Linked DNA regions of Bombyx mori. The protein of the gene in region 1 binds, or shares a complex with, the protein of each later gene. Links are inferred from orthologs where the notes say so. Each region holds a gene or a part of one and is shown in the gene's direction. Other genes may lie near its edges. The genes, in order: B-cell receptor-associated protein 31 and mitochondrial fission 1 protein.

The links.
Region 2: the proteins of B-cell receptor-associated protein 31 (region 1) and mitochondrial fission 1 protein are in contact, whole or in part, in a crystal structure (PDB 8XWX), measured with the Homo sapiens proteins. The link is inferred for Bombyx mori from reciprocal best matches to the Homo sapiens genes BCAP31 and FIS1. Residues at the interface, in NP_001132913.1 of Homo sapiens: Asp224, Leu227, Glu228, Ala231, Lys232, Ala235; in NP_057152.2 of Homo sapiens: Arg52, Val56, Glu59, Glu60, Pro63, Lys64, Lys89.

The regions. Positions count from the first base shown.
Region 1 is NC_085114.1:13,892,773-13,899,565, reverse strand, and holds B-cell receptor-associated protein 31, read left to right. Parts: upstream 1-2,330; 5' UTR 2,331-2,779; coding exon 2,780-3,454; 3' UTR 3,455-4,352; downstream 4,353-6,793. Other genes in the region: dynactin subunit 2, read right to left, coding at 317-452, 547-749, 819-854. UniProt on the Homo sapiens protein: Functions as a chaperone protein. Is one of the most abundant endoplasmic reticulum (ER) proteins.
Region 2 is NC_085110.1:17,563,275-17,570,307, forward strand, and holds mitochondrial fission 1 protein, read left to right. Parts: upstream 1-2,253; 5' UTR 2,254-2,434; coding exon 2,435-2,479; intron 2,480-2,565; coding exon 2,566-2,679; intron 2,680-4,277; coding exon 4,278-4,448; intron 4,449-5,260; coding exon 5,261-5,380; 3' UTR 5,381-5,394; intron 5,395-5,897; 3' UTR 5,898-6,061; downstream 6,062-7,033. UniProt on the Homo sapiens protein: Involved in the fragmentation of the mitochondrial network and its perinuclear clustering. Plays a minor role in the recruitment and association of the fission mediator dynamin-related protein 1 (DNM1L) to the mitochondrial surface and mitochondrial fission.

The DNA.
Region 1 (6,793 bases):
GATGATATAATAAATTAAAATATTGAGACAATTATCCCAGTCAAGTAAGAACAGAACAAAATATGTATTCTTGAACTGACTAAATATAGGATTGCATTTATTTTAGAATTTACAAATTGTTTTCAGCTTTTGCAGCTATCTTGTATAAATAGATTTAACAGGTTCTTACAATGATTTTTACATTCCACTGTTCCTGATATTTTAGTGCTTGCTTGCTACGACTTCATTAAGTAGTAGTTTGTTTAATGTTACGATTGGACAGTCAAAACAAAATAACTATAAACTTTCTAGGTTGCTAGTATGATGATAATTTTACCTTTTCACTATCGCCAGCTTTGTTTTGTTGGTCAGTGACATCTTCGAGGAGTTCAGAAAACTCACATCTAAGTCTATTGTATCTTTGTAGTGGAGTCTCCGGGTCACCTTCAGCTGCTAGCTCCCATTCACCAACTCTAAATAATTAAAAATAAATCTGGTGTGTATAGATAAGCCTACTTTGATTAATAATAAAAAATTGAGTTTGATTTAATTGTAATGAAAACCCACCTGTAACCAATTCGAGATTTTCTGCTCAATTTATCTGAAAAATCTACAGGGCCAGTAAGGAACTTCCCTTTGAATTTATTGAAAGAATCCTTGACCGATAAGTGCAATTGTTCGATACACTCGTTCTCCTCCTCCTCATAAGGCTCCGGCTGATCGGCTTCCGGAAGATCATCAGTTTCATAAACATCGCGTTGGTCATAGGCCTACAAGAAAGTTCTTGTTATACATTTAATCTCCGACGTGTACAATATATTCCTATTGAGTATACTTACAATGCCGGGTAGATTTTCATATTTAGGATCAGCCATTTTATATATTGTAATGTTGAAAAAATATAAGCACTAGTTTGAGAATAAATAAATAAATGTTCCGTAATATGAATCAGAAATTTTGTTGGTCTGTGATGTCACGTCAATCGAATGAAAAAAATGTGTATAGCCTATGAATCGAACATAGAGCCTTGAAGCCTTTCTTGTTTTGATCTGTAAAATAAAATAAAATAATTGTGATATTTTATGAGCTTGTTATGGGTGAAATTTAAATCAACCCATACGTGCTAATATACTTATTTAATTTACTTAAATGGCAAATTATAGCTTCAGTTTTTTTTTATTGCTTAGATGGGTGGACGAGCTCACAGCCCATCTGGTGTTAAGTGGTTACTGGAGCCCATAGACATCTACAACGTAAATGCACCACCTACCTTGAGATATAAGTTCTAAGGCCTCAAGTATAGTTACAACGGCTGCCCCACCCTTCAAACCGAAACGCATTACTGCTTCACGGCAGATATAGGCAGGGTGGTGGTACCTACCCGCGCAGACTCACAAGAGGTTCTACCACCAGTAATTACGCAAATTATAATTTTTGCGGGTTTGATTTTTATTACACTTTTTTTTTTCCTACCTAAGCTGATAGCCTTGACAGGCTATTTCAGCGTAACCCTAACGTTTGTAGGTGAGCTCACGGGGCTCAAACCTGATGACGTTGCTAACACGAACCCTAGCAAGAGCCGTGCTTCGCAGAATCTACCACCGGATCGGAAACGCGACCCACTGAGAAGATCCGGCGAGAAACTCAGTGGGCTGTGTCTGGGAGTTAATTAACTCGTCGAGCCCTTCGTCGCAAGCGACGGGTTCGACCAGAACGGTGACCGGTGCTTGAAGTACCTAGAAGCACCGTTAGTGGATCGGGAGGATCCGATATGACGTGTTTTGGGCGACGTCGACTGCTTTCCATTCTGTCCGCAGGATCGGGAATGTAGTTACCGGCGGCCACGATGAGAGGGTTCTCGTGTCGTGCCGCTTTAGCGAAGTGGACCTGACGACGATGCTAGCACGAACCCTAGCAAGAGCCGTGCTTCGCAGAATCTACCACCGGATCGGAAACGCGACCCGCTGAGAAGATCCGGCGAGAAACTCAGTGGGCTGTGTCTGAGAGTTAATTTACTCGTCGAGCCCTTCGTCGCAAGCGACGGGTTCGACCAGAACGGTGACCGGTGCTTGAAGTACCTAAAAGCACCGTTAGTGGATCGGGAGGATCCGAGATGACGTGTTGGTTCTCGTGTCGTGCCGCTTTAACGAAGTGGATTTTTTACACGATGTTATTCCTTCACCGTGGAAGTCAATCGTGAACATTTGTTGAGTACGTATTTCATTAGAAAAATTGGTACCCGCCTGTGGGATTCGAACACCGGTGCATCGCTTCAACACGAATGCACCGGACGTCTTATCTTTTAAGCCACGACGACTTCAATGTTTCAGAATTAGTAGGCAGATAGGTAATAAGGTGCATACAACGAGTCTAGGATATTTTTTCATTAAATTACAAAATAAATGGAAAACTATAGAACATTAATATTAAAAAATTTTCACTACCTAGTTTCAATTATTAGCACACTTTTCTGGTTACACATATCAAATTTTTCTTATATTAGTTTACTCTTTAGTTTGCTTTATCTATACAATTTAACACGTAAGCGTGCTTTGATATAAAAAGAACTGATGTATTATTTTGATTTTAGTTTTTATCTGTGCTTAAAGTATAGTGAAGTAGTCTGTGAGATCCAAAGTCGACCGTCCGTCACAGTCTGAGTCATACATAGAAGTTTTTTTTTTCAATTTTTAAATCTATCGTCACTCTTGGCCTAAGAATTTCGTCATAGTTTGTTGTTCTTCCACTATCGTTTGCTGCATTGTATAGCTAATAACGGTGTTAAAGAAATAGTGAAATCATGAGTCTGCAATGGACAATTATCGCGACGTTTCTCTATACCGAGATCGCAGTCGTCCTCCTTTTAACTTTGCCGATAGCCAGTCCGAGCAGATGGCAGAAGTTCTTCAAATCGAAATTTCTAGCTTACATAAGCGGGCAGGCATCTATTTATTTTCTGATTCTCATTGGCGTGCTAGTATTATGTCTGCTAGATGCAATTCGTGAGATGCAAAAATATTCAAATATTGAACCGTCAGACCACCAGCATCTCGACGCCGAAATGCAAGGTAACATGAGATTGTTTCGTGCACAGAGAAACTTCTACATATCTGGCTTTGCACTTTTCCTCCTTGTCGTCATCCGTCGTTTGGTTCAAATGATTTCACAACTGGCTACATTGTTAGCTCAGTCTGAGGCAAACTTCCGCCAAGCTCAGAGTGCTACCACTACTGCTAGAACTTTGTTAGAGAAGCAAGGCACTGGCGAGGAACAAAGCAAGAAAGAAATAGAAGATCTGAGGACCCAAATTTTGAATTTGGAAAAGGAACTTTCAAAAGAGAAGAAAGACAAAGAAGCTGTAAAATCACAAGCTGAAGGTTTGAATAAAGAGTATGATAGACTCGCTGAAGAGCACAGCAAGCTACAGAAAAAGCTAACAGTTTCTGGTGAAGGTGATTCTAAGAAAGATGAGTAAATATTAGACATTACAGAATGTATGAGTCTGATTTTGATGAAACTAAATGTTGTCTATGCTGCTTCTAGTATTACTGTGTTGATCTATTTTAAAAGTATATTAATAATAGTTTGTCACTTGCTATTTAAATGTTTTCAGAAAGTTGCATTACACATCTGGACTTTGGAATCAGCTTAACCACAAACATTACTGATAATGAAATGAAAAATAAATTAACAAATTTTCATGTTCGTAGTTCATTAAAAAGAAAATCAAAATTTCAACATTGTTATATTGCTTAAATTTTATATTTAGAAATCCTTAAAATTTCAAAAGTAAATAGGTTAAGCCTTAAAATATATTATTGTTAGCTTTTTTAATTTTTTATTATAATTTTTATTTTAAGCTGTTGTTTCTTAACTTTTAGGGTTTTTGGTGTCAAACATGGATTTGTGTATGAAAAATGTGAATTGTAAGAGTGGATCTAATTTAATATTCCTTAAATTGTGTTTTGTCAATTAGGAATAATCAGATTTTTATAATTTACTAGTATTTTTATTGGAAATGAAAATGAATACATGTTTTTAATTGAAAGTGAACACCAATCTTTTGTAGAATAATAATGTTTAAAGATATTGCATTTGTGATTAATTCTCACTTTCAATTTAGATGAATTTGAAAACTGTAGCACAATTTTCATCCAAATCATTTTCAGATTCTTATTAACCACACAACTTCTCAATAGGAAGTTGAGTTCTGTTATTCAAGCCTGAGTTTTTTTTCTTTTCGGAACAGTAATTGTTTGTTCTTAATTGTAATGTAAAAAAGGCACGAATAACTTTGGAATAGGACTGCTTATTAAAAAAGTCTTGAATTGTTTATATGCTGGTTTGATTAAATAAAATACTTTTTTGAAAAACTGCATTTATTATATTTCTTCAAAATGTTCGAAAAACTTCCATCTACCTCCCATATTAATTTGTTTACCTCAAAACTTTTATTACGATTTGTAGGCCGCAGTGATAGAGTGAAGTAGTAATTAATACATTTTGGTTTGGGAAAGCTTTTGTACTATAAATCTGGGACTTGTCTCAAGATAGGTGGTATTTACATTGTTGGGTGTCTATGGAGCAGTAGCCATTGAAAACCAGGTGAGCCGTGAGCTCCATATGCAGTAAAAAAGGCTAACCAAAGAAAAATGCATTTGGCAACTTTAAATTGTAGATTTATACTTGAACATTTTCTTCGGTTTTCGCTCCGGTGTCGGTTTGTAAAATAAAATGTCCGTAATGTAAAATTGTAAGTTAATAATAAAATATACATAATGAAACTGCAATATATGTAATGACAATTAAAAACACGATATTTAAGGGTTCGAGCAATTTTAATTACTTAGATACTTTAACTATACAAATAAATAAAATTGAAGTGTCTAATACAATATATTACAAATATTAAAATAACCGCTTTTAGCTACATGCATATTCATGAATGTAAATACGGTACATATACCAAAAATTTTTTTTTACAATTTTCGTCTGTCTGTCTATCCGTCTGTTGTTCCGGCTAATCTCTGGAACAGCTGAACTGATTTTGATGAGATTTTCAGTGGCAGATGGCTGATATATCTAAAATTATAAAAAAAATTTTTTGTCTGTCTGTCTATCCGTCTGTTGTTTCGGCTAATCTCTGGAACAGCTGAACTGATTTTGATGAGATTTTCAGTGGCAGATGGCTGATATAATAGGGAATAACTAAAATTATTAAAAAATATTTTTGTCTGTCTGTCTATCCGTCTGTTGCTCCGACTAATCTCTGGAACAGCTGAACTGATTTTGATGAGATTTTCAGTGGCAGATGGCTGATGTAATAAGGAGTACTTAGGTAACTAAAATTATTAAAAAATATTTTTATCTGTCTGTCTATCCGTCTGTTATTCCGGCTAATCTCTGGAACAGCTGAACTGATTTTGATGAGATTTTCAGTGGCAGATGGCTGATGTAATAAGGAGTAACTAAAATTATTAAAAAATAAAGTAATGTTTTGTTAAATTCCACGCGGACGAAGTCGTGGGCACAGCTAGTTAACACTATTTATGGACTTTGGTAAATGCTGAACAACAAAATATAGCCTCTCATTTATGGTCTTTCAATGCACGTCATCTTCGTTATTTTCATCTATGAATATACCGGTTAAATAACAACAATGTAATTTTGCATTTCGCGCGAAAATAGAGGTCACTTGTATAAAGTGATGAATCGCTTCAGTCATAATACATAGCTGTCTGTTAAAATTAGATACCTATGTTCATTGTTTGTCAATTAAATTAAAAGTTATGTTTATTATGACAACCTACTTTCGTGGTTCTTCGAAAATCGATTATGATGTTTTTTTTTCAAAAATGATTCTACCTACATTACGAAAAAGTAACAAAAAATAGTTGATTCTCATATTGTATCCGACATTGCGCGACGTATCCGAAAAAGCCACGTAGGTGCATTTGCAGGTGGAAGCGTTTCTTTGAATTCGTACGAAAATATCTCGTAACGAGTGACTCATCAGACAATAACTATTCACTGAATGACGTAGGTAGCTCGATATTGATTAGTAAGAGGTTAAAAATTATATGATGCAATATCAGCTCTGAGGTGTGCTGTTGGAGTGCGCAGGAGTACTGGGGCAGAATTTAAATTAGACAAGGTCTTTTATACGCGTCAAAGGGTGTCTAATTCATGTCATTCACAATTTGATAATGGTGGTATGACCTCTTGTGAGTCCGTCCACTTCGATAAAGCGGCACGACACGAGAACCCTCTCATCGTGGCCGCCGTGGACGTCGCCCAAAACACGTCATCTTGGATCCTCCCGATCCACTAACGGTGCTTTTAGGTACTTCAAGCACAGGTCACCGTTCTCGTCGAACCCGTCGCTTGCGACGAAGGGCTCGACGAGTAAACTAACTCTCAGACACAGCCCACTGAGTTTCTCGCCGGATCTTCTCAGTGGGTCGCGTTTCCGATCCGGTGGTAGATTCTGCGAAGCACGGCTCTTGCTAGGGTTCGTGTTAGCAACGTCATCAGGTTTGAGCCCCGTGAGCTCACCTACAAACGTTAGGGTTACGCTGAAATAGCCCCTAAGGCTAACAGCTTAGGCAGGAAAAAAAAATGTGAGTCCGCACGAGTAGGTACCACCACCCAATCTATTTCTGCCGTGAAGCAGTAATGCGTTTTGGTTTGAAGGGTGGGGCATACTTGAGACCTTAGAACTTATATCTCAAGGTGGGTGGCGCATTTACGTCGTAGATGTCTATGGGCTCCAGTAACCACTTAACATCAGGTGGGCTGTGAGCTCGTCCACTCA
Region 2 (7,033 bases), on another chromosome or scaffold:
TCACAAGATCATGCTCTAGATTATTACTTTATCCAGATAGTTTTGTGTTTACACATGTGTAAAAGTAAAAAATTATTTTACAAAGTGTTAGAAAGACATTAGTCATTAGACAAAGAAATTTCAAATTAAATAAACACAATTCAACACTTCAGTTGTGCTTGACTATGATAACTTTAGTCATCTTGGGCGATGGTTGTAATTATAATGTCTTTCCAAATACAAATGGACACAAAGAAAGTTTTTATTTAAGACGAACACAAAATATACAAAGAAGGTGAAAGTAACAAGAAATAGATAGTCCAAGCAACACAAGCGGTACACGAAACAAAAAGTAATAATTAAAAGGCGTAGTACAGAAAGAATAACACGGGATGCATGCTCGCATATCAGATTTCGACTGGTGGCGGTGGATCGGTAAAAATGCAACGACCGGTTCGTCTATGCACCGATGTACTAGCGAAATATTATCGTCGCCGCTATACTGCAGTTATCGCCCGACTTTAGTTGTGGATTTAATTTTGTTTAGTGTAAATAATGTTTTGTATGATTGTGTGATAAATGAATGTGTTGATATAAAATAAAGTAAGTATGTATGTGTTGTTGTGTAGTGTAATTATAATAAAATATTATAAAATAAATAAATACATGTGAGTCACCCACAATAACTACAAAAATTTTGAAATAGCTATTGCAAAATGACAACTTCTTGCGGAGGTTGTCATAAAAACTGAAGAAGCCGTGATATCTATTGTAACTTACAAAAATTGTTTTAGCTTACTTGTTTACATCGTCTGTAGCATGGCACATTTCGAGTTATAAGGAATTGTTTGTCTGCAGGAAGGTAAGGCCTAATCTTAGCTTCCTCTCCCTTTGCCCACTGCCAGGTAGGGCAGTGGTGTACCAGGTGGTCACCAGCAGCTACAAACTCTTCAGGAGTCAGTACACCAGTTTCTTGAAATTTCGATTCCTAGAAATAAGTGAAGTTAATATAAATAAGCCTTTGGTTTGTTTTCAAATTTCTTAGTAACCTAATTGACTTGCAAATGATCCTCAAATCCCCATATTCTGGAATTACCGTTCAAATTGTGAGACACTCACTACAGAATATTACATTTTAAATAAATATGAAGCATAGAAATAAATATTTATTTTTACAGGGTAAAAAGATTATCAATATGTTCGGTCAGTCACCGATTCATATATATAATGAGTAATTTCAATATGTATGTAATTAATAATGATCGTGATAAACGTACCTTCAACACCGGTGTCAAGTAACCGGCCACGCCAAGAGCAGTTCCCTTTACTGTGTTTATTACACTTTGCATTGTGATGTCCCTAATAGGATTATGGGTTGTTAAAAAAACTATGAGCTGTCTTTTACACTATCTACTACGTATACCTAGCAATTGCCGGCCCACAAAAGAACTTATCAATTTGACCAAATTTGACAATTCAATTTGATTTGATTTAATTCTTTGTTCAAGTGTTTTCTCGTTCGGTGGTTACCGTTCTCGAATATATTAAGTGTATAATCTATGGTTACCGTATGTACCATAGATTTTAAACCATGGAGTTAATAAGTATAGTAACTCTATGTTTTAAACTTAATCTCTGTCTGTAATTTTAATTCAGTTTAAGCAGTGACACTTTTGCTGCAGGGATCTCGAACATTGTACCTATGCGTGTGTTGCCTGTGGTATTCGTATCGTTAGGTTTTCGCTCATGTCATGTCATGCGGCCCGTACACACGTTAACTCTCTCCAGGTCATCCAATCTTGTTTCTGCAGGATAGCCGTCAGAGCGTCGTGGTATGTGAGGAATGTAAATCTTCACGACGATCTAAATTTAGTACCGATTCGTAAATATCTTATGGAAGCGTCAGAAGGTCAGAGCGTTATTCAACAAAACGGTGCCACACGCAAGTAGATTATGCGAAGCCTACTCTAGTAGGACTAGTGGTAGCAAATTCTTTCAGGTCGAGTTTGTGAGCTTACCTAGCCGTCGGGAATAGCTTCTTAAGCTACCAACGAATAAATAGAGAAAAAAAATCATTTGCTTGAAAAATTGTAGCGAGATATGACTTTAGTCTTTTCTATAAAGACTTTTAATCCCTTTGGCTTTGTTACTAGGTCTTTTTTATAATACTAAGTAAATGTACTTTCTAACTTTTTCAGTACCTAAATTATTTCGAAATATACTGTGTGGTCGGATGTTTTTGCCTTTCTTAACCTGGAAAAACTTAAGTGCCACTGAATCATCATGAACGATGTCAAACATTCAATGTCAAAATTGTCAAACAATCCATAATTCCATTTATTCTGCATTGCAAATCTACCAATTTCTCGTAATAAACCTTACACGGTACACCTATTTTTCTTTTTGTAAACGTTAAATATCTAATCAAAGTTATCATTTATAGTAACCGGCTACAATGGAAGACGTATTAGACGAGATTGTTTCATCGGAAGATTTGCAAGTAACGATTAAAACTTTGTTGTTGATAGTGACTCACAAATAAATTTACAATTGTTCATAAATCTTTGTTTGTTTTTTTTTTTGTAGAAATTCGAGAGGGTCTTTCATGAACAATTGCATCAAGGGAACGTTTCCCACAAAGCCCAGTTTGAATACGCATGGTGTTTAGTGCGCAGCAAGTATCCAACGGATATACGAAAGGTACATTTATTTACAAATACATAGTATAAAAACTGACGTCAATTTTACAGATCTCATTACAGTGGTATGTCAGAATATTATGCATATCATCAACTTGACTTGTTTTTGCCAAATTTGCTAAACAAAGCCATATTTATATATTTAAACATTAAGATATCTAAATATTTAATACAAATATACTTAATATAGAATACTATAGTCGGATTTTTTATTAGACGAAGTCAACTGACGTTTACTGTGTTGTCAGTTTTTGATGAAATAAAAATAATGTTGTGACAAAGTGAACGATTGAAAAAACTCCTGAATTAATAAAATTGCCTCGATTGTCTAGTGAACAGTTGGTGTGCCGAATTGCCGATATCGGGTACGGGTTTCGAATTTTAGGCGTGCTTTGTACATACCAACGAGTTTTCGACGAAATATTATGTTCCTATAGTATCTACCTGTACTGAATACCGAGTGTTTTAATTAAGAAAAACACTGCGAGGAAGCTTGTAAGACTGTCATATTTCCAATACATCATGTAGTTGAAATTATAGATGTATAAAATATAACAATTATAGGTAGGTAATGAAAATAAAAAAAGCTGATTGTAGTTACATACTATTAGCAACATATATTGGAGCACTTTAATACAATTTTATTGTAAAATATAAATAATACTCTTTTATAGTTTGAAATTAATGATTAACTCTTCACACTCATTGTTCATTTGTGATTGAACGAGAACTGAACGCATCACTATTACTTTAAATATAGCAACATTATTTCACAAAGTGACATTAGCTACTGTCAGCTAGCTTCGTCTAATTAAAAATCCGACTATAGCACTGAATATCACTACATTAGAAGAAACGATTGTTGTTTCTGATATTTTTAAACCATTCATTTCATTTCCTGTTAGTTAAGTGTTTTTATTATTTTGAATGTGTATTCCAATGGACACATGAGATTGATAATTAAAAATAAATGGAACTCATCATGGCTTAAAGGATGAGTCTGCAGTGTACATGTTTCAAGGGATGTTACAATTTTAGTGTTAAAGTCTCATAGGCATGTGCAAGTTTTTTAAGGACTGACTTCCAAGGCAAAGAAATTATATTACATATTTAACTAAAAACCAATTATTATTCCACAACTTGCTTAATAACTACTGGTAACAGGGAATACTGTGTATAATTAATGTTCACACTGGTAGTCAACACTATTTTGTCTATTACTGCCACATAATAGTCATGTTTTCTGGTTTGAAAGGTGAGACAACCCTTACACAAAATAATTGAGACTTATCTTAAAGTCAGGATGGCAAAGTTTACATTATGATATATATTTACCAGTCTGAGCATAGTTGGAATAGCCCCTTGGGCTACCAATGATTAGGGAAAACATTTAAGAAAACAATTACCTCCTTTCGGACTTTTGTTAATAAGATAATGAATTCAAATCATTAATTTTTTTATTGTTTTGTCTTAAGTTTTAATCTTTTAAGCATCAAGTAAAAGCAGAAAAGAATGTATAATTTACTTGACAGCTGGAACTACAAAGCACGCTTAAACATTTCAAGTCTTCAGAAGTTCTAAGATGAGTATACTTTACAGGGAATCTTACTTCTTAAAGAATTGTTCAACTCTCATCCTGAAGGCAAACGTGACTACCTTTTCTACCTTGCCATTGGTAATGCCAGAATAAAGGAGTACAATAAGGCTTTGCATTATGTGAAATCATTCCTCGAGATTGAACCCGCTAATCAGCAAGTATTGGCATTAGAGGTAAGATCAGCTATAATAACATAAGTTCGAATGGCAGAATAGTAGAGTAGATACATGAGAAATCTTACATTTGAAGATAAATAATGACATTAGTCAGTTTGGCAATAAGTCTGAAGATATGAGTATGTATATGTGTTTTTTTTTGGGCTGTCCGCTGAACTTCATATGAGATTGTGGTAGGGCCAAACGAGTCCCCTAGCATATTTCACCCCTCGTTTGATCTCCGCCTGGAGTCAGACCCAGTCAGAATAGGGAGGTACTAGTGATGAACAATACAAGAATGGCCAGGCCACCCTTAGGACGTCTGACCGAAAGGTTGCCGAGGCGACAGCCGACAACTTTACGTCGGCCCCGCTCAGAGCCGCTGATGACACGGAATATCCTGTTAAACCAAAACTGGCCTACTGGGTTGGGAGGGGATACACCAACAACCATAAATACTGTCCCACAGCAGTTCTGTAGAACTATTGTCTTAAAGCAAAATATATCACAATAAATAATATATAATCGTATATAAGCCCTTAATACTGGTTCAAGAAATAGTGAGTAGTGAACCTTTTTTGACAAAGAAAAAAAATTGAAAAAGAAATTTGGTAAAAGTTAATGTAGTAAATTTCTCTCCAGCTACGCATTAAGCCCTCACCTCAAGCTTCTACTATTTAGGTATTTCTAGTTATCCTAAGTGCTCTTCTGGCGGTCCACTCACCACTCATCATTCCATTAACCATAGTTATTAAATGCTACTTGTTCATAACCAATCAGCAATAAAAAAAAACTATTAAATTTTGAAAAAAATATTTTATTCATTCTAGCGTCAAATCAATAAACGTATGGAAAAAGAAGGTTTAATTGGAATGGCGGTGGCAGGAGGAGCTGTCCTTGCCCTTGGAGGGCTCGTGGGACTTGGAATCGCACTTGCTTCAAAGAAATAGCATTTAGCCTTGCTGTGAGTAGTTTGGACAACTTAAATGTGTGAGAGTAAATATTGCCTATTAAAAATTTAAGGTTGAGACTTTAATAATATTTAATCGTGAGCTTATCTCTTTATTTATTTAACAAATCATATCTAATGTTCTAGGTACAATTAATCAAATTATGTATTTGTACTAAACACAAATTCTACATTCAACGCTATTGGAATTTTTGGCAACTTTTTGGTATTTCTGTAGATGGGCATCCAAGTTCACAGCACATATTGTATTCTGTGGTTCCCAGAGACGCCACAACATAAATACTGCCACTCACTGTGACATGTGGTTAAAGTTTCAATTGTATACAACACTAGAACATGTGTTGTATACAACACTAGGCAAAGTAGACCCTTGCCTACTTTGCCTAGTGTATTCACAGCTTTAGGCAGCTAGAATGTTGTGTATCTCCAGCTATGACGACCCATGTAATTGTAATGTTTTGATATTTTTTATTTAAATCGATTTATATTATTTACAGAATGAATGCTGCTCTAGGTGTTCATTATCTCTTTAAGAGGAAGCAAATCAAAGAGGACTAAAACTTCATATGAATTTAATTAGAAATCATCCTATATCTCGCTGTGCAATGTATGTTATTTTGTTTTTGTCTATTAAATTAATAAAATAATAAACATCTAAAAATGCTTCTAGTTTGATAGTTCAGGTATCTAAAGAGTGTTGAGTTTATAGTTCGAATGAAATATGTGATATTATTTTTTCTAGATTTAGGTACAATGTAATTAGTAATGTTATAAGCAACAAAACGATTCCATTAGAATAAATTTATATTTTTTTGTTTTGGTTCCATCGTTTCCATATTTTACCACACTCAATAATCAATTGTCGAGAGACTTACGTGAGGACACAGCGCATAAAAATATTGGCCAGCATACTTTTGGATCTGTGAATGAATTTGTATATCTTGGTTCTCTGATAACGAATAATAATAATATAACAGCAGAAATAGTTAAGAGAATACTGTCGGCGAATAAATGCTACTTCGGCCTGCTTAAATATTTCTGTTCCAAAATTCTGTCACGAAATATCAAAATTCTTTTATACAAGACCCTACTGAGACCCATTCTTATTTATGGCTCAGAGACATGGGTACTCAGCAAAAAAGATGAGAACCGTCTACTTGTGTTCGAGCGTAAGATTCTAAGACGGATATTCGGTGCTGTGCGGGAAAACCAGATATGGAGGACGCGCTATAACCACGAGTTGTATGATGTTTACAAAGATCCTAACATCATAACAACTATAAAGATTGGACGCCTACGATGGGCAGGACATGTGGTTCGAATGGAGAGTACCAGAATGCCAAGACAATTGCTCTATGGCAAACCAGAGGGCCGCAGAAGTCGTGGCAGACCCAAACTTCGATGGTTGGATGGCGTGGAGCGCGACCTCAAAAATATCGGCGTCAAGAACTGGAAGGAGAAAGCCCTGAACAGAGCAGTCTGGAGAGACATACTGGACCAGGCTAAGGCCCACCCTGGGCTGTAAGGCCTAAGATGATGATGATGATGATGAATAATCAATTGTGACGATTTGATCAATAAAAATGGTCTTTCGCCATCTTCGTTGATGAAATACAAAAAATAATTATGTTAA